Elephas maximus indicus: one gene and its partners. The protein of the gene in region 4 purifies or fractionates together with the protein of the main gene of each other region. This does not show direct contact. Links are inferred from orthologs where the notes say so. Each region holds a gene or a part of one and is shown on either strand. Other genes may lie near its edges.

What was found.
Region 1: the proteins of CHD3 (region 4) and BCL11B purify together in Homo sapiens (affinity purification with mass spectrometry; 3 studies listed by BioGRID and IntAct, with this or other methods). This does not show direct contact. The link is inferred for Elephas maximus indicus from reciprocal best matches to the Homo sapiens genes CHD3 and BCL11B.
Region 2: the proteins of CHD3 (region 4) and BCL11A purify together in Homo sapiens (affinity purification with mass spectrometry; 3 studies listed by BioGRID). This does not show direct contact. The link is inferred for Elephas maximus indicus from reciprocal best matches to the Homo sapiens genes CHD3 and BCL11A.
Region 3: the proteins of CHD3 (region 4) and ZNF512B purify together in Homo sapiens (affinity purification with mass spectrometry; 3 studies listed by BioGRID and IntAct, with this or other methods). This does not show direct contact. The link is inferred for Elephas maximus indicus from reciprocal best matches to the Homo sapiens genes CHD3 and ZNF512B.

The regions. Positions count from the first base shown.
Region 1 is NC_064828.1:114,123,567-114,130,584, reverse strand, and holds the start of BCL11B (B-cell lymphoma/leukemia 11B), read right to left. Parts: upstream 3,015-7,018; 5' UTR 2,945-3,014; coding exon of another isoform or gene 2,799-2,944; 5' UTR 2,142-2,798; coding exon of another isoform or gene 2,065-2,141; 5' UTR 2,022-2,064; coding exon 1,964-2,021; intron 1-1,963. Other genes in the region: basic salivary proline-rich protein 4-like, read left to right, coding at 2,065-2,141, 2,799-2,944, 3,814-3,866, 4,005-4,722, 4,850-5,038, 5,170-5,477. UniProt on the Homo sapiens protein: Key regulator of both differentiation and survival of T-lymphocytes during thymocyte development in mammals.
Region 2 is NC_064844.1:1,681,835-1,689,386, reverse strand, and holds the start of BCL11A (B-cell lymphoma/leukemia 11A), read right to left. Parts: upstream 3,013-7,552; 5' UTR 2,955-3,012; intron 2,716-2,954; exon of another isoform or gene 2,477-2,715; 5' UTR 2,369-2,476; coding exon 2,314-2,368; intron 86-2,313; exon of another isoform or gene 85-85; coding exon of another isoform or gene 36-84; intron 1-35. UniProt on the Homo sapiens protein: Transcription factor. Associated with the BAF SWI/SNF chromatin remodeling complex. Binds to the 5'-TGACCA-3' sequence motif in regulatory regions of target genes, including a distal promoter of the HBG1 hemoglobin subunit gamma-1 gene.
Region 3 is NC_064843.1:4,145,393-4,152,330, reverse strand, and holds the start of ZNF512B (zinc finger protein 512B), read right to left. Parts: upstream 3,001-6,938; 5' UTR 2,923-3,000; intron 1,148-2,922; 5' UTR 1,146-1,147; coding exon 1,022-1,145; intron 882-1,021; coding exon 739-881; intron 415-738; coding exon 286-414; intron 151-285; coding exon 1-150. Other genes in the region: SAMD10 (sterile alpha motif domain-containing protein 10), read right to left, coding at 6,891-6,938. UniProt on the Homo sapiens protein: Involved in transcriptional regulation by repressing gene expression. Associates with the nucleosome remodeling and histone deacetylase (NuRD) complex, which promotes transcriptional repression by histone deacetylation and nucleosome remodeling.
Region 4 is NC_064837.1:12,893,083-12,900,280, forward strand, and holds the start of CHD3 (chromodomain-helicase-DNA-binding protein 3), read right to left. Parts: upstream 3,004-7,198; 5' UTR 2,989-3,003; coding exon 2,718-2,988; intron 2,639-2,717; exon of another isoform or gene 2,513-2,638; intron 1-2,512.

The DNA of each region.
Region 1 (7,018 bases), on a different chromosome or scaffold from region 4:
CCCTTGCAATTATACGGAGGCTAGTGGGGCAAATTGCCTCCTGGAGAAATTAGGCGTCTGCAAGTACAGACGTTTTAACAACCACCCCACCATCTAAAAAAAAGGGGGGGGCATAGGATAAGCCATGGCCAAGCCATGGCCAGTTTGGTAAAGGAACGAAATATCGACTGAAGAAAAAGACCTTGATCAAATCCCCAATCTGGTTGCAAAATATTTTGTTTCAAATATTACCAGCCGAGTCTACCATGGCACAAAATAATAATAAAAGCCAACTCCTCTTCCCTCCTCCAAAAAGGCAGTCCTCTCCTCCCAAGCCAAAGCCCACTTTAATATCTACCCCCCCCCCAAAATAAATAAATCCACAAATTCTTACTAACGTCTCTGCTGTAACAAAGGAGAGATATGGCCACAGCAAATGCTCCGAGCAGATGGCTCCTGTGCCGGGTTTTCAGGGGAGGGGAGAACCCCTTTATATATTTATTTATTTATTTAAATTTTTTAAAATATAACATAAATATTCGGCTCTCGGCCGGCTCGCAGCCAGTCCTCGGCGGCGGCTGGGCGCGCAGCCCTCTCCAGCTCCGCGCGGGCAGCCCGGCCCCAGCCCAGCGAGGCGCGCGGAGGACTTGCAAGCACACAACCTCGATGGCACCCAGAGGATGTTTTATTTCTATTGCAATAAAAGAAACATATATATATATATATATATATAAGCAACGGCGACCCAGGCAGGCACCGCGACAGCAGGACAACAGGGAAAGGCTCGCGCACAGCCGTGCAGCGGCGCCGCGGGCTGCCGCGGAGGGGAGCGCCGCGCGCCTAGCTTCCCCGCGCTGCTGTGCGGGGCCTGGGCTCCTTGCAAACAGGGCACCTGGCCCGCTCGAGCTCGCTGGTTTCCTGGTTGAATTACACCCAACCCGGGCTCTGGAAGCGGCTGTGTCTCTGCCCCGCTGCCTGACTTTGCCCGCCCCGCCACTTGCTGGAAAACCGCGCGATTCCCGCCGGTGGGTTTCCACGGCATCCTGCTTGTTTATTTGGATAGGGAGATGAAAGATACTGCGATGGAAAGATGGATACGAGATTGATAGGGCTCTCGCTCGCTTTTTTTTTTTTTTTTTTACTATTTTACCAGCGCATCCTTCTCTTCCCACTCCTAGCTGACAACCTTTTTTTTCCCCCCCCCGTGGCGGGGATTTTTCACCAGCCCCAATCCCCCCACCTTTTTGGGAGTGGGGGAAAGAAGACAAGATCATCCCAGGAGACAGTCGGAGGTGGGGAAATGCGGGGGGTGGGGTGGGGTGGGGGTGGGGTGGGGGGTGCTGGAGCCCGGCAAACAGCCGCGCAGCTGGATTCGTTTGCAAATAGCGCCGAGAGCGAAGGAGAAAGGCGGCTGCGGAATCCGCGGACCGGCGTGGCCGGCGCCCTGCCTGGCAGGGCGCAGCGACCGGGGCCCTCACCGCCGGCCGGCCCGCGGTCCCCCCAGTCCCGCGCGCTCCCCGCTCTCCGCCGCCCGCGCCATCAGCGCGGACCCACGCGCTCTCCAACTTTTCCCCACTTCCCGACTCCCCGACTCCCCCTCCCCCTCCGCTCCCCCAGCCCCCTCCCCCTCCTCTCCAAACCCCGCCACCAGCGCCGCCGCCGCCACACACGCCGCTCGCAGGGGCGAGAGTCCAGCGGGCCCGGCGCGCACACAGACCTCCTCCAGTCTGCGCGCCCCCTCCCCGGCCCGGCGCCCGTTCCCAGGGCCCCCGAGCCCGCGGCGAGTCCGGCTGCTCAGCGCCCCGACTCCCGGGCTGCAAAGAAACTTTGCATGGTCCCCTGCTCCCCGCCGTGCTCCGGCGGACGCCACTGCTCTGCGAGCCGGCGCGCAGCCCCGGCGCTGCCCGGCCCGGCCCGCAGTCCCCAGCCTCGGGCGCCGGGAGCCCAACCTCCGGCCCCTCGCGCGCACGCCGCAGACACTTACGGGTGATGAGCTCCCTCTGGGACAAGTGCTGCGGGTTGCCCTGTTTGCGGCGGGACATTGCCCCGGCATCTATTCTGGCATCAGCCCGGAGAGCTGCTCGGATGGGGAGCCGGGGAGGGGGTTCAGCCGCCGCCGCCGCGCCGCGCCGCTACCGTCGCCGCCGCGCCTCCTCGGCCCGGTTGGTGTGTTGTTGTTTTTTTCTTTCTTTCTTTCTTTCTTTCTTTTCCCCTTCCTCTCTTGCCCTCTCTTCCTCCTCCTCCTCTTCTTCTTTATTTTGCTCTTTCTTCTAGGCTTTTTTTGTTTTGTTTGCAAAAAGAAAAAGAAGAAAAACAAAAAGAAAAAAAGGCTCTCGATCTAAAATGGGAGAAAGAGGCCAAAAAAAAAAAAAAAACTGCTGTTGCTTGCCGCGGACTGGCTGGTTTCTTTTAAAAATATATTCTTTTGAAAGAAAAAAATCTCTTAGACTTCTTCAGACTGCTTGGCCTCTTGGACTTCCAAATGTCGTCTTGAACTTAAACCGGATTTTGCACCGGCTCCGTACACTTTCCTTCAGGGTCTGGTAGGTGGAGAACGCACTTCTACCAGGAGGGGGAAAAAAAAAGAAAAAAAATGCAAACAAATAAAAAATAATAAAAGAAGAAAAAGAAAAAAAAAAGCAGAGAAAACTTGGGGACTTGTCTCGTACCCCTTCACCCCGCCCCCTCAAAAAACCCAAAGCAATGTAAAACTGCCCCGATTCGGTGGTTTCTGGGTGTTCTGCTGGCTGCCTGCTTTTTGTTTTTTGTTTTTTTTTTTCTCGGAGACTGACCCTTCGGAGGCTCTGGGGGGACTCCAGGAGCGGCTCCTTCCCAGTTCACCTGGCAGGCTGGCGCCGGCCGCAGGAGCTGCCGGGTCCCCGCGAGCGCTCCCCAGCGCTCCCCTGGCGCCGCGGGCCCGGGGGGAGCGGGGCGGAGGGGCGGCTCGCCCAGTGCGCCTGGGTCGGTGCGGGCGCGGACTGGGAGCTATAGATTGCAACGTGAAGATGGCGGAGTCCGGGTTCTCTGGGAGCTCTCGGTCTCTCTATGGCTGGGGCTGCCTCTGTACAATGGGATAAAATTCAAGTTCAAGTGCGGACGTGACGTTTAATCTGCACTAGAGACAAAAAGACCCAGAGAGTCGGAGCACTGGGGGCGACTAGCGGTGGCTTTTTAACATTGTACCCTGCAAGAGAACAAGAAAGCTCACACACACACACACACACACAGAAAGACACTCGCGCGCGCGCGCGCACACACACACACACAGACACTCGTCCGTGCGCACACCCGCAGCCCAGGCCGACCCCACGTGCAAACCGCGTTTTTGTGCCTTCCTCTTTTCCCGGTGCGCGAGAGGCGCAAAGCACCCCCACCCCGGCGGTGGGCAGGATATTTTTTTTAGAAGCAAATCCTTCTCTATATCCCTCCTCTCCTCCTGGGAACAGGACCCCCAGGGAAGGGGGGCGGGGTGCTGCGTGCGAGGAGTAAATTGGATCAATGCAAGTCCCTGCCCCCTAAAAGCTTATTTTGGCTTGGAGGGGCATTGTGGAAGAGGGTTGGGGTGCACGTGGAGACTGGGGGAGATGGCCAATTGCTTCATCTCCCTGGAGAAGTAGTTGAATTGCTTTTACTTTTTGTTTTATTGGGGGTAGGGTTAAAGTTCCATAAAGGGTCTCCATTTAAACCCTCATTACAGACTGGGAGAGAGGTGGACAATACTAAAGTTACTAAGAACGAATTAAGAGCACGCGGGGGTTTGGGGGGCCGCGAGACCTCGTCAGGTTCCAGGCAGGAAGAAGCGTTCACCTTAGTCTGTGCCCTCCCTCCACTTAGTCCCCGGGTCAAGCACGCCCCCTCCCAACGCCAAGATCTGTGGGAGCGAGGGGGTGAGGCCAGGGGTGCGCCAAGTGGGAGGCGAACTTGTAGTGTGCTGACCCAGAGGTAGGTGTGGCCGGATCGCTGCAGCTCCCGGGGTGCGTGACCCCCCCGAGTCCCCCGGCTCCCTCCCAAACCTTGATAATTAGTGCAACAAGGAAGGGGCACCTCCGCCCCAGCCCGCGATCCTCGGCTCAGGGCAGGACATGAAATCGTCCGCCAGACTGGGAAGGACGCAGCTGCCTCGTCAGCCGTTTGATCTGTGGGGGCCTGTCTGTAGCCTGGGGACAAGGCCAGGCCGCGGTCCCGATGGACACCCGCCCTGCCCTTCCCCAGGCCGCGGCCTTTTCGAGCTGGGCGCGCCACGCGGCTCGACCCTCTCCCTTGGCCTCAGCCCAGAGGCGGCCAGGGCGGGTCGGGGCCTGGCTCGGGGCTGGGCTTCGCGGGCGAGCCAACGACACCCGCCCCACCCCGCCCCCGGCCGCGCCGCCTCTGAGCGCACCGCCTCCCTTGGGGCCCGCCCTCCAGGGGCACCTGGAGTTTTTGTTCGCCCCAAAGGTCTTGGGTGGGGCGCCGGCAGCGAGAGCGCAGTGCTCGAGAGCGAAAACAGGGAGAGCTCCCTGCCCATCCCATCCCCCCCCCAAATAACAGCAATAAAACTGTGCCCCCACGTGCATCTCTGCAGACAGTGGGCAGCGGGGTCGTCGCGAGAGCCTGAGGGGGTGGAGATGCAGGGTGAGGGGCTCCGGGATCGCACCTCCCCTCCCGGGCTGCAGGCGGCTGCCCCCCAGCCTCCACGTGGTCCAAAGTCCAAAAGAGCCTCGCTGCCCTCCCATCCCGCCCCACCGCAAAAATCGTTCCAGGAAGGTGGCCTAACTAAGAAAAAAGTGCCCACACGCACCTTTAATAAAGTTCTTAAGAAAACCATAAAACGTCCTTCGCGACTCGCCCAGACTCTTAAGTTTGGAACACCAATTAGCCCGCTCTTTCTGAGACGCGGCAGTGTGCAGCCCAGAGAGGGTTAGCGTCTTGCCCAAGGTCACACAGCGCGTGGGGGTCCGGGTTGGACTCACATCCCCTGGAGGTGCCTGCTGCCCTGCGCCGCCTACTGTCCGCGCCGAAATCCCGACACCCGCTCCCTCGCCCTCCCGGGTGGATTACAGGGAACGGGACCCCCTCTGCGGTGAAGGAGAGTGAGGTTCCCCCTCAGGAAAGGCGGCCCCTCCGCAGGCGCGCTCAGGTGCCCCAGCTGCAGCTGCGCGACTCCAGGGCGGCGGGGTCTGGGGAGGGGGCACCTCGCCCCACCCCCGGCAGGAAGTGGCGGGCAGGGGGCGGCGCGGGCCGGGGTGGGCAGTGAACACTTCCTCATTGGCCCCGCGCTGCCCCGACGGCGGGAAGAAGACGCGCGAGCGGGCGGGCGGGCGCAGGGCCGGACACGCCGGCGCGCTCCACCTCGCGGCGACCGTGAGAGGCGGCCCGGCCGGGCCGGGCCGGCGCTGGCCCCTTCGCCGTCCTTCTCCGCCTCCTCTCCCCGAGGCTGCCGGGCGCAGGCAGCGAGCGATCCCAGCTGCCGCTCCAGTCTCCTCCTTTTCCCTCTGCCCGTCTGGCACGGGCATCATTAGCGCAGAAAGCTGTTAATGTCTGGTCTCACAGCTCCCCCTTTAGTCTTGCTGCGCTCCCTGTCTCGCGTTCCAAGCCGGATCAATAGCCGCCTCCCGGCCGACCTTGACCTCTCCCTCGACTCCGCCCGGCTTCAGCAGCTGGGCCACACTAATGTTTCCCCACTCTTGATGCCGAGACAGCGGGCGGGCGGGGTGCGAGGGGGGTGGCTGAGCTCGGCCCGCGGCCCGGTCCCCCCTTCCTTAGGGACTCAGGCAGGCGGGGGAATCCGGTACTCGCTGAGCAGGCCACTGCATCCCAGCCCACCCCTCGATAGACCAAGCCTTCGTTTAGAAGATAGGTCACCCCCACCCCAAAAAGGGGGTGCACATTTGGGGGTCCATATCTTACATATGAAAACCTAAGAAGAAAAAGTGCAGTCACCAGTGTGGCCCTGAACTAATAACAATCCTTCGCACTCATTTCCCAAGTGCCTGCTGCAGGCCTACTGTGTGCTGGGCACAGCTGGGGGCTTCGTGCACACAGGAACCAGAGAGGGGGAGGAAGGACACACATTCTCTGCGGTACCTTAAAAAAAGAAAAAAAGGCAGATGTCAAAAACTTTTTTGAACTCACAAATATTTCCCTACTTTTGTCTTTTTCTAGCTTCACAGTGCATTCCAGCAGATAGCCTGCCATATTCTCAGCCGCATTAAATTTCTGTACGAAGGAGTAGTTCAGAAATCAGAAATCATTTCACCAAGTCAGAGCTCATTTTTCCTAACCTAGAGTGGGGTTCTACTTCCTTACGTGCTACGTGTAACACGCCAAGCAGTGGGGGGAGTTTTAAGCAGACATGTGACCCAAAGCCAGACTTTTTGATTAAAATTCTTTTAGCAATTCTCAATACTTGCCCCTTAGCTGAGGTTGGACTCTGTTAGAGAATCCACAGTGTTGTCTTTGCCTTTGGAGCTGTTACAGTACATACCACATCTTCACAGAAATTTGGAAAGAATCATGACAGAGCAGTGTCAGTAGAAACGGGCTTCCAGCGCTTCTGCAGAAATAAGGTCGACATTTATTTTTGTTTTTTTAAACACGCATCCATCCCCCAACATGCAGCCAGATAACTTTGTACCAATACAAAAGCTCAACAGCGCATCTTCCCGAATTACTTTGAGCTTCATTATTTTCTGGTGCTTTAAAAAAAAAAAAAAAAATCCATGCCAAGAAAAGGTGACTCTTTGTATTCACAAGTCTGGAGCAAACCCAAAGACAAATCATGTCAGCTAATTTTTGTTTTTTGGGATCTGTAAACACTATCGACTGAAGATGAGAATAAATACAATTCATCAATCTGATCAGGACGGACTTGTTCTAACTTGCGAGGAAACCGAAACAGAGACGCTAACCAAATCATATTTATGTACATATTAATGAGGCTCCCAAGAGGGCCCTCTTCTCCTTCCTTGCTGTTAAAGAATATGTAGGAGCTATGAAATCCAGAGGCATAAGAAGACAAGAGGTCTTTTGGGCTTCCTAGCATATCTTCTAGAATTATTTG
Region 2 (7,552 bases), on a different chromosome or scaffold from region 4:
GTCCTGCGCACTCTGCCCTTCCTTCCCGCCCGTACCTGGCCGGGCTGTAACTTCACACCGCCGCGCGCCGCGTCTGCTCCGCATCCGGCGCGGCCGGGGGAGTAGGGGGCGGGGGAGAGAGGCGAGGGAGGGATGCGCGGGGGTGGGGAGAGGGAGGGCCCCGCAACGTGCTTGGGCTGGGGAGGGGGGAGGAGAGCGGGGGAGCTTCCGAAGTGTATGACAAGTTTCAGGGCCCAGTGAAAAATGCAATTCCCTGTGCGCGCCCCCACCCCATCAAAAAATACATGACTGGGTATAAGTGGACCTTTAAAAATTGTATCAAAAATTAAAATGGGAGTCATGGAGAGGAGAGAACTGGCCTTCTCGTGCCTTTCTTTCCCTCGCTGCCAAACTTTCCTAAGTACCCACTACCTCACAGGAGCATTCAGTTAGCTGGGACCCCCCCTCCCCCCGCCTTATAAAGACTCACAAGGACCCCAGACAAAGTCAGGCCCAGGAAGTGGGCAAGAACCCAAAGGTGAAGGACGCGAGGTCCCGGAATAGAGCCCCGCAAAGGCATACCCGACCAGAGTTCTCCGTAGTCCTCCCCCACCTCACCCCGCCCCAGCCCGGGCCTGGCCCCGCTCCGGCACAGGGACCTGGTGGCCAGACCCGGGGTGGGAGTCGGGGGAGGAAGCGAATGCACGTGGTGACCTCCACCCCCTCCCCGCGGCCGAGAGCGGTGGACAAGAGACCTCTGGGGGTACAGCCGAGGGCAGGGGGCGCACGCAGAAACAAGCTTTTTCAGTTGCTTTGCAGAATAAAAATGCTTTGCAAAGCCGAGTTTCTCCCCAGCGGGTTTCGCAGTCGGGGAAGCCGGGAGGAGGTCTGGGCATTGTGCTGGGGGCGGGCGGGGACCTGGGGCCCTGCTGGCGCAGTCTCAGCGTGGCCTGCCGCCGTGCCCGGAGGGCGGGCGCCGGGCGCCGGGTGGGCGATCCCGGGAGGGGCCGGGGCGCGCCGAGGCCCAGCGAGGCCCCGGCCAGGCCCGGCCGCCGCCGCCGCCGCCCGCTCTGAGGCCGCGGCGCTGCGCTCGGTCCTCTGTCTGTTTGTTGGCAGGAGGCTCCCGCACACGCGGTGCTTGTAAACATTCAGACACGAGATTTTTCCCAATCAAAATCCACTTCCACTTTTTTTGAAAATCTTCCAAAAAATAGTAAGAGGAGGGAGTTCCTCGCTCCGTCTCAGTGCCGCCGGCGCTCTAAGTCTGCGAGTGAAGGGGTTTGGGGAAGGGGGTGATTGTAATTTTTTTTTCTCGGTTGGAGATGGTGAGATTTTTGCGGGGGGGGTGGGGAAGTCAAAGTGGAGAGCATTGCAGTCGAGGGCTGGCGGAGCGCTTGGCTTCTGCTTTTTGGGGCAAGAAATTTTACGTTCTCTTGCCTCGTTCAATTTAACTGTCTTTATCTTTTGCATGTCTACCCCTCGCCGCCTCGGAGGCTCGGCCGGGAGGGGAAGGCAGCGGCGAGCCGGGCGGCCACCCCGGGGCCCTCCCTCCCTCTCCCGCGCGCCCCCGGCCCGGGCCCCGGCCCTTCGGCCACAGCGGCGGCGCGGGAGGGCCAGCGCGAGGAGCTGGCACAAAAGGCAGCGGGACAAACACCCACCTCGGGCCGGAACAAAAGGCGGCAGCGCCGGCCGCGGCTGGCGTTCTCCCCGGCTCCCCAGCTCTCCCCGGCGCCGCGGCCCCCTCCCGCATGCCCTGGCTGACGCTGGCGGGGAAGCCTACTTTCCTCCCGGGTCACGCCGGCCCGCGAGCGCGCCGGCGTCCGAGGGCCGGCTCGCCTCTTCTCCCCCGGCATTGGTTTGTAGGCTGGGACCCCCCCCACACCCCGTTTTCCTGCGGGGAGTGGAAGCCACCCTCCTTTCCCCGCCGACTCCCTCCCCCAGGCTGGCGCGTGAGTTGTTCGCATCCTTAGCATTGTTCATTATTTTGCAAAACTGGGGGGTAAAACCACCGCATTCCTTTTCGACAAGAGAAATAAAGCAGCGGAAAGGAGGTAAGAGGAGGGGTGACTTTCTTTTTTAATTAAATAAAATTAAAAGGTGAATGCTATCCCAAAAGTGCACACGCGGCTAAGGTGCGAGACGGGACGAGGTTTCTTTCTTTCTTTTTTTTTTTTTTTTCCTTTTCCTTTAATCTCTTTTACTCCGACTCTCGGAGGTTTCCTCGTGAAAATAAAAAATGCACGCACACACCCCTCTCCCCCCTCGCTCTTGCGGCTCGTCCTGCGCGCTCTCGTGATTATTAATAATTATTATTACTATTATTGGGTTACTTACGCGAGAATTCCCGTTTGCTTAAGTGCTGGGGTTTGCCTTGCTTGCGGCGAGACATGTTGGGCTGCGGGGCGGGCGGCGGCGGCGGGCGGACGACGGCTCGGTTCACATCGGGAGAGCCGGGTTAGAAAGAAGGAGACTCCAGAGAAAATATCTTCATCAGTGCCTTTTGACATCCAAAATAAATTAGAAATAATACAAAGATGGCGCAGGGAAGATGAATTGTGGGAGAGCCGTCATGGCTTTTTTTTTTTTTTTTTAAGCAAAAAAAAAAAAAAAAAAGGAGAGAGAGAGAGGAGAGATAGAGGGAGAGAGAGAGATGAAAAAAAATGGCAAAAGCCCCCCTGAGCTGCAAGTTCAAGTGCGGACGTGACGTCCCTGCGAACTTGAACGTCAGGAGTCTGGATGGACAGAGACACACAAAACATGGGCAGGGCGAGCAGGAGAGAAGGGGAGGAGGGAAGGGGAAGCGCACACCAATGGACACACATCAGGGGCTGGACATGAAAAAGAGACCAGGACAAGCCAATGGCCAGTGCGGGGCGGGGGAGGCGCGGGCGGGGGGCTCGGCAGACGCCAGACGCGGCCCCCGAGGGAGGGGCGGGCGGAGGGGAGGGGAGGGGGCGCCGGGGCCGCGGGCTCACCAGTGGCCGCAGCGAGCGCAGCAGCCGCGGCGTGGCCGGGAGAGAAGAAAGGGGCGGCAGGGGCGGGGGGGGGAGCAAGGCGGGCGTCCTGCTCCCCCCCCCCCACTGGGACCCTAAAATGAGAGATTATTTAAAAAAAAAAAAAAAAAAAAGGCAAGAGTGCTCGGAGGGCTGCAGGCTGCGGCCGGAGAAGCGCGGGCGGAGGGAAGCAGGTAGAGTTGCTCCCGGCCCCCCTCCGCCGTGCGCACACCCACTTCCCCTCCCCGCCGCCGCAGCCGGCGCGCTCACTCCCCGTGTGCGGACACCCGGGCCAGGAGTGGAAGCCCGGAGCCCGCGGCTGCGCTCGGGAAACTTTGCCCGAGGAGAGGAAAGCCAAGAAAATCACCCGAAGTTAGAGCTGAGCCTCCAAGTTACAGCGCCGCAGCGGGCGAGGGGAGGCGGGAGGGAGCGCGCGCGGAGCGGAGTCCAGCCCAAGTTTGGAGGCTCGCGGGCCGGAAGGGCAGTGTCGGGGCCTCCCCGAACCCGGACGGTCTCGATGGAGGGGGCCAGGGCGAGGGAGGCGGCGAGCGGCGCAGGCCGGGGCAGGAGCGCCGGGAGGGCGCCCCGAGGCCGAGCCGGGGGCCGGGGATTTGAGCGCCTGGACTACCGACTGGGTTTGAATGAACTGGAAGCGCGGAGTCGAGGCTCCCCAGAACCCCGGAGTGAGAGAGGGGCCGCGGAATAAAGAACGAGGAACCAGAGTCCGAGCGCATTCCAGCCCCAAGACGGGAGTACCGAGGGCCGGGGCCGGGGAGGCGTCCACCTCTCCTGGCGGCCGTGAGCAGGAGGACAAAGCGCGGGCAGTCCCGGGAGGGCTGGGAGCGCGCTCCCCGCGCCGCGAGAGGCCCCGGAGCCGGGTCCCGAGGAGGTACACACCCCCTCCCGCTCCAGACCCACCGCAAAGGCACAGAGGGATGGAAAGAAAGTACTGCTTACGGGCAGAGCACAACTATTCCCGTGCTGTTACCCGGGGAAAGGGAAATGGGGGATGGAGATACAGCGGCGGGCTCGCGGGAGCAGCCGGGAGGCCACAGTGGAGGGGCGACCGCCTCGGAGGGACCAGCGGCTCTGGGCGAGCTCCGCGCTCTCGCGCGCCGCAGGCCAAGGCGCACACCTCGGAGCCCGCAGCCGCCTCTAGTCTTTCTGTAGACATTCCCTGGAAATTAGGGAAGACCTGTTGGAAATAAGCCCCTGTCTCTTTAATACGCGCGCGCACACACATGCACACACACACACTCACACACGCTGCCGCTGTCAAAAAGCGGGCTTCATTCTGGCATGGGATACTTTCAGTTTTACGTAAAATGTACAGCAACAGCACCCCCTGCGATTGGAAAGTTTATTCCGAAACGTGCCTGCAAAGTCCCCCGGCGTCTCCCGCCTCCCAGCCTCCCCGCCTGCCTGCGCTACCCTGCAGCCGCCGCCACCGCCGCGGATACGGCGCTCCGATTCCAAATCGGGAAACGCTGGGGAGTGGGGGTGTGTGGATGGACTCGAGTCCAAGGTTGGCGCGGAGAGTGCAGGGGGACGCCGGGCGCCGCTGCCCGCGAGACTCCGAGCTGCAGGTGGACATGTGTGAGTGGCTGCAAAGCAAGGAACCTTCCTTCCCTCTCCCGCAAGCAGCCCCGCGACCCCTCGGGTCTTCTCTTCCCCCTCCTCCTTCTAAGGGGTGTCGTCTCCTTAAATTCGCCCACTCAGCGGGGGGGTTGGGTTGTTTGAAGCAAGGGCCCTGGACTGGCAAGCGCGCCCCCATCTCCCAGGCTCGCCGGCAAGCGGCTGTTTATTCCTATGTCATCTTAGTAAAGTTTCAAACCTATTAGAAAAGGACGCTTGTCCAGCTTGAAGACGCTTCAGGTCTCCGCAAGGAAGAAAAAGGAGATTTGGATGCCCCACGTTATGAGGGGTGTGAGCTGAGGTGGGTTTGTGTAAATGCGGTTTGTTGCTGTTTCCCTCCAGTTTAAGAAAGCGGGGGGGAGCGCAAATCCTGTTTAAGCAAGACTCATTTGCAGTAAGGCTCTGTAGCGTGTGCGTGACACCATTTCCTCTTTTCCGTGAGTTCTTCAGAGCAGTTCAGCATCTTTCTCCCACCACCGGGTGTTTTTTGTCTGTTAAACCAACCTTATGACCAAATGAATGTCTCTGTAGGGCGGGGGACGGGGAAGGGCGGCGAGGAGGAATATTAGAAAGTGAAGAAAGGAGAAAGTGTAACTGGGAAGCCTTGGAAAAATAAGTAAAAGCCCCTTCAGGTAACAATGGTGAGCCAGAGTCCTTCCGAATCGAGCATTTCAGATTTGAATATTGCTCCTATCCATCCATAAAAGTCCATATGTAGAGAAGGTACGTAAATGGGCAAATGCGTGTTGGGGAAATATATATGTATGATTTATATAGAATGGTGTTTATAAAGCTTTTCAGGGTTGGCTGTAGTGTAAAAAGTAATGAGTTTATTACCTCTGAAAGGTTCTGTGGTTCACATTTAACAGTCTTCTGAATTACAATTCATTACACAATTGGGTGCTCTCTAAAACCGGCACCCCATCAGGGCCGCTATCTGTGGTTATTTCCTATAAATAACTGGCAACATTTTATTGATTTTCTCTTTTAAAAAAATCATAGGAGATTAAGCACTTAGTTACAAGTAGGTCTGCTATGTTACTGAACTTGTTCCAGATTCCAGGGGGTCCTTTCCGAAATCACATCTTAAAACATAGCATTAAAAAGCCAGTTTTGTAGCTGCTTTCCCTGGGTACCAACGGAGAGGTAGGCAGCGAGGTTTCCACCGTCAACATACATTTGATTTCACCATGATAAAATGTCCAGGATGAAATGGAAACTCTGCCCTCCGCTGCCACCCCCTCCCCCAGCCAGATTTCACCTAGTCCAGAAAACTAGGGCTGAGGGAAGGCATCTGATCGCTCCTGGAACCCCCTCCCCAGTCGTCTCCCCTCCGGGCGACGCCCCTTTTCCTCGTCGCAGCTCGAAGCTCACTAAAGCGCCCAAAAGTGGGGGAGGGGAGATTGTGGGTGTGTTTAAAGGAAAAAAACATGCGTTGTTTTAAGAGGTTTAAAAATATTACATAAGTATTGATTAATGATGCAGGTGGTTTCGTAGAGGGGGTGAAAGGTCACGTTAAAAGCGCGCACTTTGGATACACAGTAAGTATATTTTACCTTTCCAGAAGTGGCTTTTAAAAGTAATAAATTACCACAACGTTGAAATTATTTTCTGGTGGTCAGTTAACTCCGTTCGGGGCTGTAGAACCTCTGCTGAGTCCGCTGAGGAGGTAACGACGCGCTTTGGGCTGTTTCCCAACCTTCGATGACGACGCTGCGTAAAGTCCAGGCCGGCAGACAAGCCCTCCCCTCCTCCCCCTTTTTATCTCGCCGGCGGAGCAGACTCCCCAGGACTTCCTGCCTCTGATCTCCGCACTTAATAGCCCAGTCCTGGTTTATGCTTTATAATGTGTTGACAAGTTTTCTAACAGACTTTCTGAAATAATGCACATATATTCACGTCGGTTAGAAACCCCGCCGTATTTTTTAGAGCCGAGCAGATCGGCTCTCTAATGCAGTGCAAGAGTGTAAATCAAGGAGGGTTTCATGGTCCTTTCAGGAGTTTTCGGTATGAAGTATGAGCCGCGTGGCCTCCAGACGTAACCTTTTAGAAAAAAAAGACAGTGCTTTTATTTTATGGTGTAAAGTGCTTTTAGCTCCAGGGCTCTGAACGTGAATGTGGTCAACAAACAGCTCCATGAGGAAGGCTTAACGCAGTCCCAGCGCTGGTGCGGAGGATCGCCTGGCGCTGGGCACTCGGGCTAAGCTGGGGAACCAAGGGTTAAGAGGTCTGTCTCGCGCTGGAAATGACAAGATTAAAATAAAATATTCACTGTCTGCCTTTAGGGGGAAACACCTTTATGGATTTAAAGATAAATAAATGAATGAATGATTAAAATACAATCGATCCCAACTTACTTTTTATTTCATCTTTTTTCCCCCTTAATCGGCAGATCAGGAAAATAGAGAATGTACGTTCATCTTTATAAAAATAAAGCTCAGATCTGGATTCTACACTTGGTAGATGCATTTGGGGTGCCTGGGGGTGGACTTGCTAAGGGACTTGTTAAGACAAAGGGAAAATAATAAAAAAGGAGGAGCGGCTGTGAGCAAGCGGGTGGCTCTCCCCCCAGCCGCCCTCAGCGCCCCACCCCCGTGACGTTTCCTCCTCCTTTGCTCCCCGAGTGACCCGAGCCTGGGACCTGGGGAGGCCCCTGGAGGGCAGTGTCTACACCTTCTGCAAAGGCACAGACTTCCCCCAGGGGGCTTCCTGAGGGAACAGTTGGTCCAGCGTCCTTCTCCAGAGGCGCTCTGGGCCTTTGGCTGGCTGGCAGGCTGCATTCTGGATGGACCAGTGGGAAAAAAAGGAGGGAGGGAAAGAAGGAGGGAAGGAAGAAGGGAAGGAGGGAAGGGAGGGAGGGAGGGAAGGAGGGAGGAGAGGGAGGGAGAAAGGAGGGAAGGGAGGGAGGAAGAAAGGAAGGGAGAAAGGAGGGAAGGGAGGGAGGA
Region 3 (6,938 bases), on a different chromosome or scaffold from region 4:
GGTGACCGGCCGGCTGACTGGCCCAGGCTTGGGAGCAGGCAGGGGTCGGTCCATGTGGTTCCAAATCCGGTGCTTCTCCAGCTGGGTCTTGGAGGTGAATGCAGCCTCGCAGAAGGGGCAGGGGAAAGTCAGCCTTTCTGAGATGGCACCCTGAGTGGGAAGGGCAGATATGAGCAGGGTCTGCCTAGAAGGGCCGCCCAGACACCACCCAGTATGCAGGAGACAATGCTGACAGCGCAGGCAGGTAGGCCCAGGCCTCCTTGTCCCCAACCAGACGTCCCTTACCCCTTGGCACCGCTGGTAATGGTACTTGAGGCCATAGATGCTGGGGAACTCCAGCCAGCACCCCGAGTTTGGACACTTCACCCTCGAGTGGGCCTTGAATTCATCCTTCCACTGGTTCATCAGGGAGAGCTGGGGGGTAGGCAAGGCCAGGCTGCTGACCCCCTCAGTGGCAACTTCCACCCAACCCAAGCCCCAAACACCATGCCCTCGACCTTGGGATGATGGCAAGAAGTAGCCACCCCCCCGAGCAGCAGCCCTGTGCTGGACCTGTCCTAGGTGCCCACACCTGGTCCAATGTGTCCTCCCGGCAGCCACATCAAAGGCAGGGGCTTGAGACCACATAGTGAAGGCCTGTCTGGCCAGCACTGGGCCGCCAACTAATGCGGCCGAGAGGCAGGCAGCAGCCTGGACGGCAGACCCTTGTGAGCCCCACCCCGGCCCTGAGGAGCTCACGGGAATGTCTCTGAGAGCCTGGTTCTCGGCTTTCGGCCGCCCCTTCTTTTTCCCTTCTGTTCTGTCGCTGGCTGGACTTCCTGGGTCGAAGCACAGTGGGGCCTGGCTGGGCACAGTCTGCCCACTTCGGACCACTGGCATTCCTGTGGCACACAACACACCAGGCTCAGGGGCTGCAGGGGCTGGGCAGGCCCATAGGTGTCCATCCACACCCAGGCCCCTCCCTCTCTAAGACATACCCCCACGCCAGGAAGGCCCCTGCCTTGCTCATGGTGCCTCTTACCGAGCTTGGGTGGGTCATGCAGCACTGGAGGCAGAACCTCAGTTCGGCCTGGATCCTTCCCAGATCCACTCTTGCTGGACCCTGGGAGCCGGCGGCCTCCACCCACACAGAAGGGGTCGGTCATAGCTGCAGAGCAAGGGTTCAGACCAGTGAGGCCCAGGGACCCAAGACCCACCACATCCTGCAGGCTCTCCTGGACCATTTAGCACTGTCCTGACTCAGGACACAGGAGGGGCCGCAGCCTGCCCTCTGTCCTTGCCCTCAGACAGGGCTGATCTCTGGGAGCAGTGGGGAGGGGGGTTGACAGGGGCTTCCAACTCTGGGGAAGGGCTGCCCCGCTAAGGTCTCTGGACAATCCTGGAGAAACGATAAGCCTGAAAGGCCTAGTCTGCTGCCCCCTAGCCCCGTGCTGGCCGCGGGCTCCCTCTGTTCCCAGATGTATGCTGGGAAGCATGCAGCCCACACCCAGGACCAAGGAGTCAGACGACACTCCTCCCGGGGGCCATATAAGACACCAGTGGCGGGCTGCTGGCTCACCTGGGGGCACCACCTTGCAGCCCACGGCCAAACCCTGCCCCACCCGGACCCAGATAGTCCCAACCTACCCAGTGGGCACCTCGAATCCATCTGCCCAGGACACAGTTGGAAGACTGCCAAGCTGGGCGCTGAGGGCCCCCAATCCCTCCCGGAAGGCAGACCAAGGATCCACAGGCCCCTCGCTCACATTCCAGTAGGTCCCGCCAACCAGGCAGAGGCCGGTGCTGGCACCTCGCCCCCTTCACCTCCACCTGAGGAATCCCTGGTCCCCTGCCTTGGGTCCACCAGCACAGCTTCAGCTCCACCAGCCAGTGAGCACAGGCAGCTAAGCCCAGCATCTGGAGCCCACCGGTTTTGTGCCAGAGGGGGCCCCTGCTGCCCGTGGCCGGGCCTCCCTGGGCCTATTCCAACCAGGTTGGGGGACCCCACGCCTCAAGAAATGAGGGTGGACATGGGACTCTGAGCCCAGCCCTGTCGAGTCCTCCAACAGGAAGACCCAAAGCGACAGAAGGGGGTGATTCGGGCAGGCTGAGGCCAGAGGACCAGCCTGGGCAGCCCCGGTCCATTCTAAGGGGGACACCCATATCCTGGGCCTGGATGGAGGAAGAGGTCGAGGACACCCAAACAAACTTCTCTGGGAGTTCTCATGCTTCAACTTCCTACAGTCACCCAGGCAGCGATGACCCGATGGCCATGGTGTGCGTGCAGACCAGGCCCCTGCTTTTCAATCTTTCCCTAGCCTGACCAGGCCTGGAGTCCAGGGGGCTGGGGCCAGGATTGGCCTGGGAGGCCGACACCCCTCCTTCCGCCCCGGCTTATGACTCCCGCACCAGGACGAGTAGGCGTTTCCACCCTCCCACCACGCCTAGTAGGGTCAGGGCTGCGGGACCCACCGGGGGGAGCCCTGTTGGCACGGGCCACAGCAAGCCGGCAGCAGAACATCGGCGCGAGGCAGACCCCAGCCCAGGCGCGCGGATAAGGCCTGCCAGAGACGCGCACCTGGCAGCTAGGCCTCGCCACCCACCCACCTGTCACCTGCAGCCCTGGGCGGCCGCGGGGCGCGGGGCGAGGGGCGCGGGCCCTGGCCTGGCCCCGGAAGGGACAATCGCGGGTAGCTGGGGCGGGGGAAGGGGGGCCCGAAGGCAGTGAACCAAAATGGCGACTTTTTCTGGAGAAGGAGGAGCAGGAGCGCGGCGCACGGCGCGGTGCGCGGGGCGCGGGGCCGGCGCGGGGTCCGGGCAGCAACGGGGGCCGGCGGCTGGGGCTTGGGTCGGCCCCGCCTGGGCCGCGCGAGGTCGGGGTCGGGGCGCAGCCGGCTGGGGCTGCTGCCGGAGCAGGGTGGGGAAACAGGCCAGGACGGTTACCTGCGGCGGCCCGGCAGGGCGCGGGCCGGGGCCGGGGCGCGGAGAGCAGGCGCGGGACCGTGGCTCGGGCGGCGCAGGCTGCGCGCCGCGCTGCGCACATGCGCGCTCCCGCCCCTCCCACCTTTGACAGTTTTACTGTTGGGGGGGGAAGGGGGCGAACTCTCGCGGTATTCCTGCAGTCGCTCCGCGACGGGGAGGGGGCGAGCCGGGCCCGGGGGTTGCGGGGGGCGGGGAGCTCCCGCGCGCCGGCTGGCTCTGCCTTGCTCGGGGACTGTCGCGGATCCTCAAGCCCCGCCTTGGGTGCAAAGTGGTCAGCTAGTCATGCTACCTATAGGGCGGGAGGCGTTTTGGGGGCAGTGGGGTAAACTGAGGTACGACAGGGGCGCTGGGTACTGCCCCAACCCCAGTGCCTACGGATTGAGGTGAGCAGCCTCTCGCCTCCTGGGCTCGGAGAGGGTGGGGCAGTGGCGGTCACAGTGCACAGGACCCTGACCTGACCCTCAGGGGCCTTGGCAGAAGGGCCAGCAGGACAGAATCAGGCCTGTGTTCTGCCACTTCCATGACTCTGGCCACCATCAAAGGTGGCCTGGCAGTGTCCCTGCCTGCTTAAGGCCATGGGGCTTTACTGGGCATCATTACCTTTGGACCAGCGTCTTGCCTACCTTGGGGATGGTCCCAGGCAAGCGGTCAGTCCCTTGCTCAACTGTTCCCCAGACCAGAGACCTCTGCAGGGAATGCTGGTGTGGGGTCTGGGGATGAACCTCAGGGCCCCATCGGAGCTGGCTGGGGAGGAGGAGGGCCACCCTGGGGGCTCCACAGGAAGTGGGGAGGGATAAGGTGCACCTTCCCCTGGAGCACTATCCTTACCTGCTCACAGAGCCCACCTGGAGGTAGGGTACCTGTGGCCGAGAGGGAAGACAGTGAGACTTTGGGTTTTCATTTTGTGCCCCTTAATACTGTTCGAGCCTTTTTTTTTTTTTCTTTTAAATCTCTGGGCATCTATTACTTTTACAATTAAAACTGAGTTTAATTTTTTTTTAATGTCCCTTTTTACATTCTGCAAGTATTTTGGACCCCTCAAGTTGTTGCGAGCTGGTAGTCGCTGGTTGGGAAACAGAAGACGAGGTGCACCTCCTTCTCTGCAGCCCTGCCCCCCTCCCCACCCACCTGGAGCAGGTGCTGACTTGTGGGGGCAGGCAGAGAAGCCCTGGCAAAAGTGGGGCCAGCCTCTTCTCAAACGGGCCCTTCAGACACACTTCTCTCAGGCCACACAGCCCTCAAGCCTGAGCAGGCTGGAGGAAAGCAGAGCTGGAGGTGGGGGGGGGGTGGGGGGCAGGGTCAGCTCTTCCTGCCTTCCCTTGGAAATCTGGGGCCGGGGGAGAGACCAGTGTTTGTGATTGGAAATATAGGGCCAGGAGGAGAAGCCAGTGTACATGACCTGTGCAGACCTCAGGGACAGTCCTATGTTCGAAAGTTGGGTCACTGTGTGGCTCCTGAGGAGCGTGCAGGTTGTCAGCTTTCATTGTGTGTCCCTGTAGGTGACATGTGTTGGCATCTGTGTCTGTAGTGGGTGTGTGTCCACCACCTGTCACTGTGTATCAGTGTCATGGTCTGTATCCAGCAGTATCCATATTGGGGTGTCTGTGTGTCCTGTACTAGAGGAGAACAATGTCTGTTAGTATCCAGCTGTCTGGAGGCCAAAGTGTGTGTGTGTGTGTCTGTGTATGCAATAGGTTGGATTCCCAGCACATCTGTGTCCAGGCTGTGGTGTTTGTGTCTGGATGTCAGGGGATATGTGTGTGACCATATGTGCATGTGTAACTATGTGTGTCCAGGCTGTGGTGTGTTGGATGTCAAGGGCTAGTTTCTGTCTGTGTGTTAATACTGTGCCTGGGCACTGTGTGTAGGGGGACGGACTGTTTATCTGTGTGTGTCTAGATGTCAGGGTTGTGGAATTTGTGTTTGTATCCCGAGTGTGCTGCACTCTGTGTTTCTGAATGTCATTGTGTGTCTGTGTGTTAATAGTTGCGTGTTTGGGTGGCTATGTCTGTGTTTGTGGGGTACGGTTACATTCCCGTGTATGTCAGTGCATTGTGTGCCTGTGTGTTGGGTGTGCCGTGTGGGCCTGGCTCCTTGTGCCATGGTGTCTCTGTGTCAGTATCTGTGTGCCCAGACTGAGATGTGCGGGCCTACACCTCAGTGTTGCTGTTTGTGAGATGTCTGGCTGCTGTGTTGGGGGATGTTGTATGACCCATGTGCTTCTTCTGTCAGGGTGTTGCCCTGTGTAGAAGGGTGGAAAACGCCCCCCAAAAGATACCTACATCAAACCCCTGGGACCTGTGAAGGCGACCTTATTTGGAAAAAGGGTCTTTTTGCAGCTATGATTAAGTGATGGCTCTTGAGGAAATCATCCTGGATTATCCGGGTGGGCCCTAAATACAGCACTAAGTGTCCCTATAAGACAGAGGGGACACAAAGGAGAAGGCCACCTGAGGCAGAGAGGGGTGACGTGTCTACCAGGACTGCCAGAGCCGTGGCGAGCCTGGAAAGGCCAGGAGGCTTCTCCCTCAGATTCTGCCTTCAGAGCTGTGAGAGAAATAAACTGCTGTTATTTCAGGTGCCAGCGCGTGGTTATTTGCATGGTAACCCAGGGAGCCTATGCCCCCATCTGGGCCACCGCATCCTCAGAACCCTGCCACTTCGCGGTGTTCCACGTTGGGGTGCAGGCCGGCCTGGAGCTGTCTTTCAGCCTCCGTGGATGCCGCCCCGTTGACCGATGTGGTACCGCTGCCCCCTGGTGGCCGCGGCTGGAGGTGGCCGGGCAGGTCCCTTCCCAGATGGTAGACTCATGGCCACTTGAGACTCAGGTTTATTTCTGATTTTTTGTCAGGATATAAAAAAAAAGTGAGCACAGAACAAGGGAGATGAGACAGGAGCACATGGGGGGCATGACAGAGGAGGGAGAAGGGGATGGAGACACGAGGGCCCTGGGGACAGGAAAAACGGCTCCCCATGGCAGAGACACGGCAGGATGGAGGCCCTCTGGGCCTGGATGACCAGCCTCTGATCCCAAGGCCAGCTCAGGGCACACGGGAGGGGGCTTAGGGACTCAGCCTCATCATCCCTGAGATTTTCAGAGTCCCCGAGGGGCATGGGAGAGGGCAGGGGAGTAGGTGGTGGGGCTGCCAAAGCCCCCTGCCCCTGGCTGTCCCTCTGCCAGGCAGCACCAGCCCCAAACCACCAGGCCCAGGCCAGGTCCTGGGGCAGCGGATGACTTCTGTGGGAATCCAGGTTTCCCTGGGAAGGGCTGGGGAATGCCTACCCTGATGGTGCCCAAAGAAGCCTCTATGAATATAGGGAGTGGGGGCATTTGGCCTTGGCCCCTAGTAGCTGGGTGTGGCGTCATGGCAACCTGGGTCTCTGTTTGCCACTTTCCAGTGGTCTGGAGCACTCCCTGGACCTGTGGCCTTGGTTTCTGCATGTGCTGGGGCGGGTTGGGGGGGGCGGCGAGGGGCTTCTTAGGGGGTATGTGAGAGTGACTGACACAGTGCCAACCCATCTAGGTGTGGATGGGGCTGGCCGGGACCTGGGTGTGGGGGTCCACAGAGGCGGCAGCCACAGTCTATCCATCTTGGGTAAGGGCCCAGGACTGTGGGGGGCGGAGAGACAGACCTCACCTTGGGAGAGGGTGGGGACACCCCAGGATGGGGCTCAGCAGGAAGGGGGATGGTCATCATTGGGTGAGGGGAATATAAATAGCCTCCTTGGGGGCCCCTGTGGCTCCCAGTGCTGTCTGCACACTGCCAGCAGCACCAGGGCCTGGTCTCTTGACCCAGGTCCCTGCAGGAGGCCCCCACAGTTCTGAGTGCCCAGCCAAGGCAGGTGGGGTAGTGCTCCTGGCTCAGCCTGTCCCCTGAGGCATCCCCAGAGTCCAGAGAGGCCATGTGGCTGGCTCTGCCTTGTCCTGGTCACAGTGCTGGGGTCTGGAGTCCAGCCTCGGCAGCAGCTAGGACACA
Region 4 (7,198 bases):
ACCAGCCACTCAATGCTGGCCTGGAGCCCAGACTCTCCCACATCTCCGGCTCGGATCTGGGGAAGACGGGGCGGGAGGGGGGCGGGCGAGGAGCGGGGGGCGGAGCCTGGCAGTCAGAGAAAGGAGGCGGAGTCTCTGGGAAAGCCTCGCCTCCCGCCCGCCCCCTCTTCTTCTAATCTACCATCAATCTCTCACACATATATTTATTTTTTCTCAAATTCCCCTCCCTCCCCCACAACGAACCACCATAATAGGTCTGTTGCACATGCGTATTGCATGCAGGGGGTGGGTTTGTATTTTCAGGCCTTTTGCAAAGAAACTACCAGAATTTTCCGCACCACCCACAATCATTCCCCACCCCCACCTCCGAGGAATCACATCTATATATTATGTTATATTATTTCTCCAGACTTACCAGAAGGGGGAGGGAGAAGAAACGAGTTTTTGGCTTCCTGCTCCCTTCCCCCATCAACACGAGTGCTATTATTTTAAACGTTTAACAATGTAAGGAGACTGGAGAAGAGGGGGAAGGGATAAAATCGGTCTTGGGTAAGAATGTAAAACAAAATGGTGAGAACCAAAGCGGTCAGAATGAAAAACAATACAAGCCTCTAATATCTAAAATTCATATTCTAGAAAAGGGTGAGGGAGGACAACTTGAACAAATTTCCTGAGAGGAGGATTATTTTCCCCACACTTAAACAGAAATAATTAGCAGACTAAAAATATTTTCTCAAAGTTTTACCTCAGAAAGTCATCTGAGGGGGTGTATCTGGGTCACTCATTTGACTTGGAGGGCTGAAAGGGAGATAAAATTGCCCTGGGAGAGAGGGGAGGCGGGTTTTCATTTCAAATAAAAATTTAAAAGCATTTGACATATCTATTCAGAAAGCAAAGAGGGAGAGGGGGAGGGAATATCGACACAAAGACCCACCTCAACCTAAGATTCTTCCTGCTCCTCTCTCTCACGTACCCATATCCGAGTTCAAAACCTCCCAAATACCACAACCCAAATTCAGAATACAAGTAGGTGAGAGTTGCCAATTTCTTAACTAAACCTGTCATCCTTTCTTTCCCTTTATTTAGCACCTCTGCTGTTTTCCAAGCAACCCCTACCCCAATTCTTTATTCCTTTCCCTCATGCAAAATCAGTGGGGGCTCTAGAATAACATTAAAAAAAAAAAAACTTTTCCTTTTTTCAGACAAGCCTAGGCAAAAAAAAAAAAAAAGACTATTTTCTTTCCCCTTAGACACAACCCCCCCCCCAAATTTAGAAAGCTCCCCACACTCCCTCCTTCAAAGGTTGCCTCAGCAAGACAGAAAAGTTTGCCACATATGGCACAAAGATCAATACGGCAGTTTTACGAAGAGAATGATGTTAGAAAATTTGAAGTTGGGTGCATTTGTGCTGCATGGCACCCAGAGGTCTGGGGGTGTGGATGTCCCCCCTTTCAATTCCCAAGCAGGCAGTGTGAGCACTGCCCTCGCTCACCTATCCTATAAAAAGACTAGAAATAAACCAACTAGAAGATGGTCTTTGTGGGCCCACCGGCGGGGCGCCCGAAGCGAGGCAGCGGTGTGTCCCCTCCACGGCTGGTGGAGCAACCCAGAAGTGCCGGGTGACTCGTCAGCCCGAGGGAGAGGTTCTGAGTGATGGTCAAGCTGCAGAACAGCTGAGTGGGCAGTTCACGCCCCCCAACGTGGTCTGGGTGCGGGCGGTTTGAGCTGAAGAGTGAGTGACAGGGAACGGCAGCCACGTGAGAGTCACAGCTGGGCAGCTCGGCCACCCCAGACTGACTGGGTCATGGGGGGGCGCACTTGACACAAAAGAGCCCAGGGCAGGGGAGTGACAAAGGGGGAGGAGTTGGGGGGAGGACTTCGGTTTCCCCCTGCACTCTGTTCTCGCTCCCCAGTCTTCAGTGGCGCCGCCCCCCCAGTACAAGTTGCGGGGAGGGGGGGAAGGATCAAGTCTGATTCCGGGAAGTGTTCTGCTTGGAGTGTGGCCACCACCTGCCCCTAGTCCTCAGCCGCCCACGAATAGCCCACGACCCCTCCCCACGTGCCACTGCACGCCCCTAAGCGGACACAAAAGTCTCCGCAACTCGGGGGGGGGTCCAATGGGCGCCATTATCCCCCCTGCCTTCCCAACTCCTCAGGGGAGGGAGACTTAAGAACACCACTCGCGAAAACCCAGTTTTCCCTCAGTCCAGCCCCACCGGGGCCGAAGCCCGAGGGGCGCCCGCGCGGCCGCCCCTCCCCCACGCGCCCCTCCCCCCCACGCCGCCGTCCGGCCGCCAGGGTCTCCGCGGTCCCTCGCTCGGCCAGGGAGGGGGCCCTGGCTTCGCCTCGGCCGTTTCCTGCCTACCCCCTCCCCGCCGAGGGTAAAAAAAAAATCTCCTCCTCCTCCTCCCCCGAAAGCCGCGACCAAGTGGCCCGGTCCGCGCGCGCAGCTCGCTCCCAGCGCTCTCCAGCCCGGGCGACGGCGGCAGCGGCGGCGGCGGCGACGGGGGAGGGGTGCGGCGGGGGAGGGGAGGAGGCCTGGCCCCGCCGCCGCCCGGATCGCCCGGTCGGACCGCCGCGGGGCGATCGGCCCGAGACGGCGCCCCGCGCCCCGGATTCACCTCGCCTCGGCCGCGCGGTGGGTGTCTCGCCCCCGCTCGGCCTCTCGCGCCCGCGGCTCCCGCTGGGGGCTGGGGGAGGTCGAAGCGGCCGCTTACCTGGAGGCGGGGGCGGCGGCGGCGGGGGCAGCGGCGGCGGTGGCGGCGGCGGCGGGAAGAGGTGGCAGCCGGGGGGGTTGTGGCGGTCGCGGCCCCGGTCGTGGTCCGGCCCGCGCCCGAGTACTCTCTCGTCGTCGTACTCCTCATCGTCCTCGTCGGCCGCCTCCACCTCCTCCTCCTCCTCGTCGCCCTCTTCTTCTTCCTCTTCTTCCTCCTCCGACACCACCATCTCCTCCTCCTCCTCCTCTTCGTCCCTCAGAGGGGAAGCCATCCTGTGGCTCTGGCCCCCCCACCACCCCCCCACCCACCGCCCGCCCGCCTCCCCCACCGCTACCACCACCACCACCTCCTCCTCCTCCTCCTCCTCCTCCTCCTCCTCGGCGGCGGCGTCCTCCTCCTCACCGCCTCCCCCAGCCCCCAAAACCCCCGGGCCACCCCCCTCTAAAACCCCCACCCTCGGGGCCGCCGTCTGAGGAGGGGGGCCAAACCACCCCAAAAATTTTCTTGGAAAATTTTCAGGAGAGGAGAGACTTTTTTGCCTCTCTCCTCCCAAGAGAACAAGAAAGGGGGATTAAAAAAAATTATATATATATATATATATATAAAAGTTTTCGACTTCTCTCTACCCCCCTCTCCGTTGCCTTAAATATATTTAAATTCTGAGGGGGGCGCTCAGAAATATTTCTCAGAGCTGAGGCACTAAGATGGCCGCCTTGAAATTATTTTTAAAACAACCCCCCCTCCAGGACCGCCACCCCCTCCATGAAGAAAGGGAGAGGGGGAAAAATCCCCTTTTAAAACAAAATGGCTGGCTTAATATTTCATTTTTCACCCCCCCATTCTCCTCCCTGTTACACCCCCATCTCCAAGCTTTTACCCAGAAACCCAGAAATTTCTCCCTTTTTTCATAACTGATTAGTGCACAGATTAATAGAGATATTTTCCTTGTGTACTGAACTGTGTGTATGTGTGTGTGTGTGTGTGTTTTGGGGGGGCATGAAGGATTTCTGCATAAAACAAAAATGGCTGCTGTGACTAACTCACCCCTTATAAAAAATATTTGAGGGGGGGCATTAATCAGTAGTCATGCTCAGTCTGACATCAGCATAAATTGTTAAAGGTTAACTAGTTAAATACTAGTCCAACCAGATTTAATTTTTTTTTCTTTTCTTTACTAGTCTCTTCCTCCCCACCTCCCTTCTCTAAAGAAAAGCTTTTTTTTTTTTTTTTCTGAATACTTCAGAAGGGAGTGGTTTGATGTGAAGGGTTTTTTTCCCCTTCAGGCATTGAAAAGGAAAAGATGAAATATATGTTTATATATAAATCTGTTTCTGCATACCTCATTGAAGTCAGAATGCATTTAATCGTGTACGTATCTTTTAAGCGAGAAGTGGTACTGAATTTTTTTCTTTCTTTAAAAAAAGTGATAGAAATTCTAGTGACTTTTGGGAGAGAGATATGAATAGATATGATGATTGAGTTTTTTTTCAAAGGAGTCCATGTTTGATTCTCCCTTTCGCCCAGCCTTTTCGGTGATTTATAATTGCTGTAAATTTTATCTTCACTCTTTTCCCCTTTCCCCCCTCCCTGCCATTAATTGAATATAAAATTCATCTGACTTAGGAAATTAATTTGGGGTAAATAGAACAGATTTTTAGAATAAAGGGGAAAGAGTCAAGTCTGACGATTGTGAAATTATTTTCTCTTTTCTCCCATTTCAGTACATTTCCTTCCTCCACGATCTCCAACACTGACAAAGTGGATGAAACTGAGGTGCTGTGAAAGAGAAAAGTAACTGGGACTGAGAGAAAGAGGTAGGGGGTCACATTCAGGTGTTTTCATCTGACTTTCTAACATATGATTTCCACCTGTACTCCAGTGTTTATCATAAAATGGTTCCAGTAATCAGATGGAAGGTTGGAAAGGAATCCAAAAGTAGCGTCCTCCTCCAGGGACTTGACCAGAAAGGTCTACACAAAAAACAAGACTTGCCAGTTGGAGGTGGAACACTTGTACCTTTTCTACCAACAAGCAGTGCTAGCAAAGAAGGAGGGTAAATAGCTCAGTTCTTCCCTTATTCATTCTTGTCACTTTTTTCTTACTCTTGTTTTCTCCCATCCTTTTGATTTCACTTAGCTCCTTGCTTCCACCCCAAGCCTGTGGAATCATTTCTCTCTGGATTATTTTTCTACCTGTTAAGTAGAGCTGCTAGCCCTTCAGCCTCTGCAGTGCTCAGGAGCAACCTAAGAGGGAGGGACGGGTAGGCAGCAACCAGAAGGTATTAGTGATGGAGAATAATACACAAATTTTTAAGAGGCTAAAATATTCTTTGTTCCACCCCCAACACACTTTATTGAGCATTAGTTGCTATCCCTTTCTTAATATGAGCTTTGGAATTCTCTTGCTTCTTTCATATCATTCCTGTACTGAGTCCAATTCCTATTCTTCTACCAGATTTTGTTCTTCTGTCCTCTCTCTCAGTCTCTGTTCTAGTCTATCTGGGTTTCCCTCTCTTTCTGTATATGGGCTTCTCTGTATGTACGTCTTTATTTTTCACTAAGACCGTTTCTCATCCCTTGGACTCTCAGGCTCTGTCACCTCTAAGTGACTTTCCATCTCTGTCTTCTGTTTCCTTCTGTTTTCTGGTCTCTTTGTATGCCTCTTCCTCACGTGTGCCTGGCTTTCTCCTCTTTCTGCCCTACCTCATGGATAGTCTGTGGATCATACTGTGTCTGGGAAGAACGTCTCCACGTGTGTGTGTGGGCCACGCTGCGCATCATGTGCATCGCAGCCTTTCTGGCTCTGTGACCCTCTCCCTCCTTGGTGAGTGTCTCTGCCTGCTTGCCACATGTGCCATGATCTGCAGGTGTGGGTGACTAAAGATGGGTTTTGGGTGGCTGTGTGCATCTCTGTACAAACATTAGTCCTGCTGTCCCTTGAGTGGGCATTGTATACAGATCTGTTAATTTGCCTGATTCTCTCTCCCCTGTCCTTCCCCCGCTCTGCAAGTCTGTATTCTCTCCTGTTCTTGCTTCCTATTGACCTCTTGATTTTTCTTCTTCTATCCTGGTTTCCATCTGCTTCTCTACCTGCTTGCTCCTATCATGGTGCCTGCCTGCCTGTCTGCTCCTCCCTGACTGGCTGGCAGCCTCTTTCTCTCTCTCTGGTTGTCTGTCTGCTTCTCTGGCTGTTTGCCCACCACACTCTCTCTAGCCATCTGTCTCCTCACTTCCCTGTCTCTATCACTTTTTTAGCCTGCTTCTTTTGGTTTATCTACCTTCCAGGCCCTGCCATGGTTCCCTATCTCCATTTGCCTCTTATCTTACTTTTTTGTCTATTCACTTCTTTTATTTATACTTGCTATGTTCATGATTTTTCCTTACCTCCCTTTTATGTCTGTCTACTTGCCTGCTAGTATCCCACTGTTTAATACCTGTGTCTTTTAGACTTTCCACTTAACCAGCTGTTTCTCTCTTGGTTCCCTCTATGCCAACACCCCACCAATGGTAATGGTCTCTCCTCCCTGGCCCCAAACTCTTTATCTGTGTTCTTGCCATGTACACTACCGTGCCTTCTCTCAGCACCTGCCTTCATTCTCAGTTGTCTCTTTCTGTCTGTCTTTTTGGCTACCCAGGCAGTTAGCCTGCCTGCCTCAGTCTTTTCACCATTCTCCTAGGATCTTCACTGTCTTCCTGCCTTTTACCCTTTGCCTGGCTGGCTCTTGCTGTCCACATCCTGCTTGCTTTTCTTTTTTCTTCTTTGTTTTTCTAGTCAGTGTTTGAATAGGTAGTATATACACATGGTACAAAATTTTTAAAGTATAAAAGCTTTACTGTGAAAAGTAAGACTCCCATCTATCCCTTTCCCTCAGTCCTCCAGTTCCTCTCCCCAGAGGCAGCCACTATTTCACATCTCATGGACATTTTTCCAGTGAAAAATATACACACAAACACACAAGTTTACTTGCTTTTCACTGTACTCCTCCCAGTTTAGTGGCATGCTTATTCCTCTGTCAGTCAGTATCCCTTCCTACTTTAGGGGGACTGCCATCTCTTGCCTCTTGTCTTTTTTTATTCTACTTTAGTAGAATTCTAGTTTCTAGTGCAAATGGTTTATACTCAACTATTAACCTAAAGGTTGGTGGTTCAGATCCACCCAGCAGTGCCACAGAAGAAAGGCTTGGCAATCTGCTGCCATAAAGGCTACAGCCAAGAAAATCCTATGGAGCAGTTTCTACTCTATAACATGTGGGGGTCACCATGAGTTGGAATTATCTCTGTGGCAGTGGGTTTGGTTTTGATTTTTAGTTGCTGGTTTCATGCTTTTAATACCAGTATCTGAGAAGAACTTAGGAAGGGCTTGTTCTCTCCTAATCTAGTCTATTCCTCTTAGACAGTTGTCTTACACCCTTGTTGGTCTCTTCATCATTGAGGTATGTATTAATTGAGAAAAAATGTGAGAGCGCTGTCAGACATAGCTAT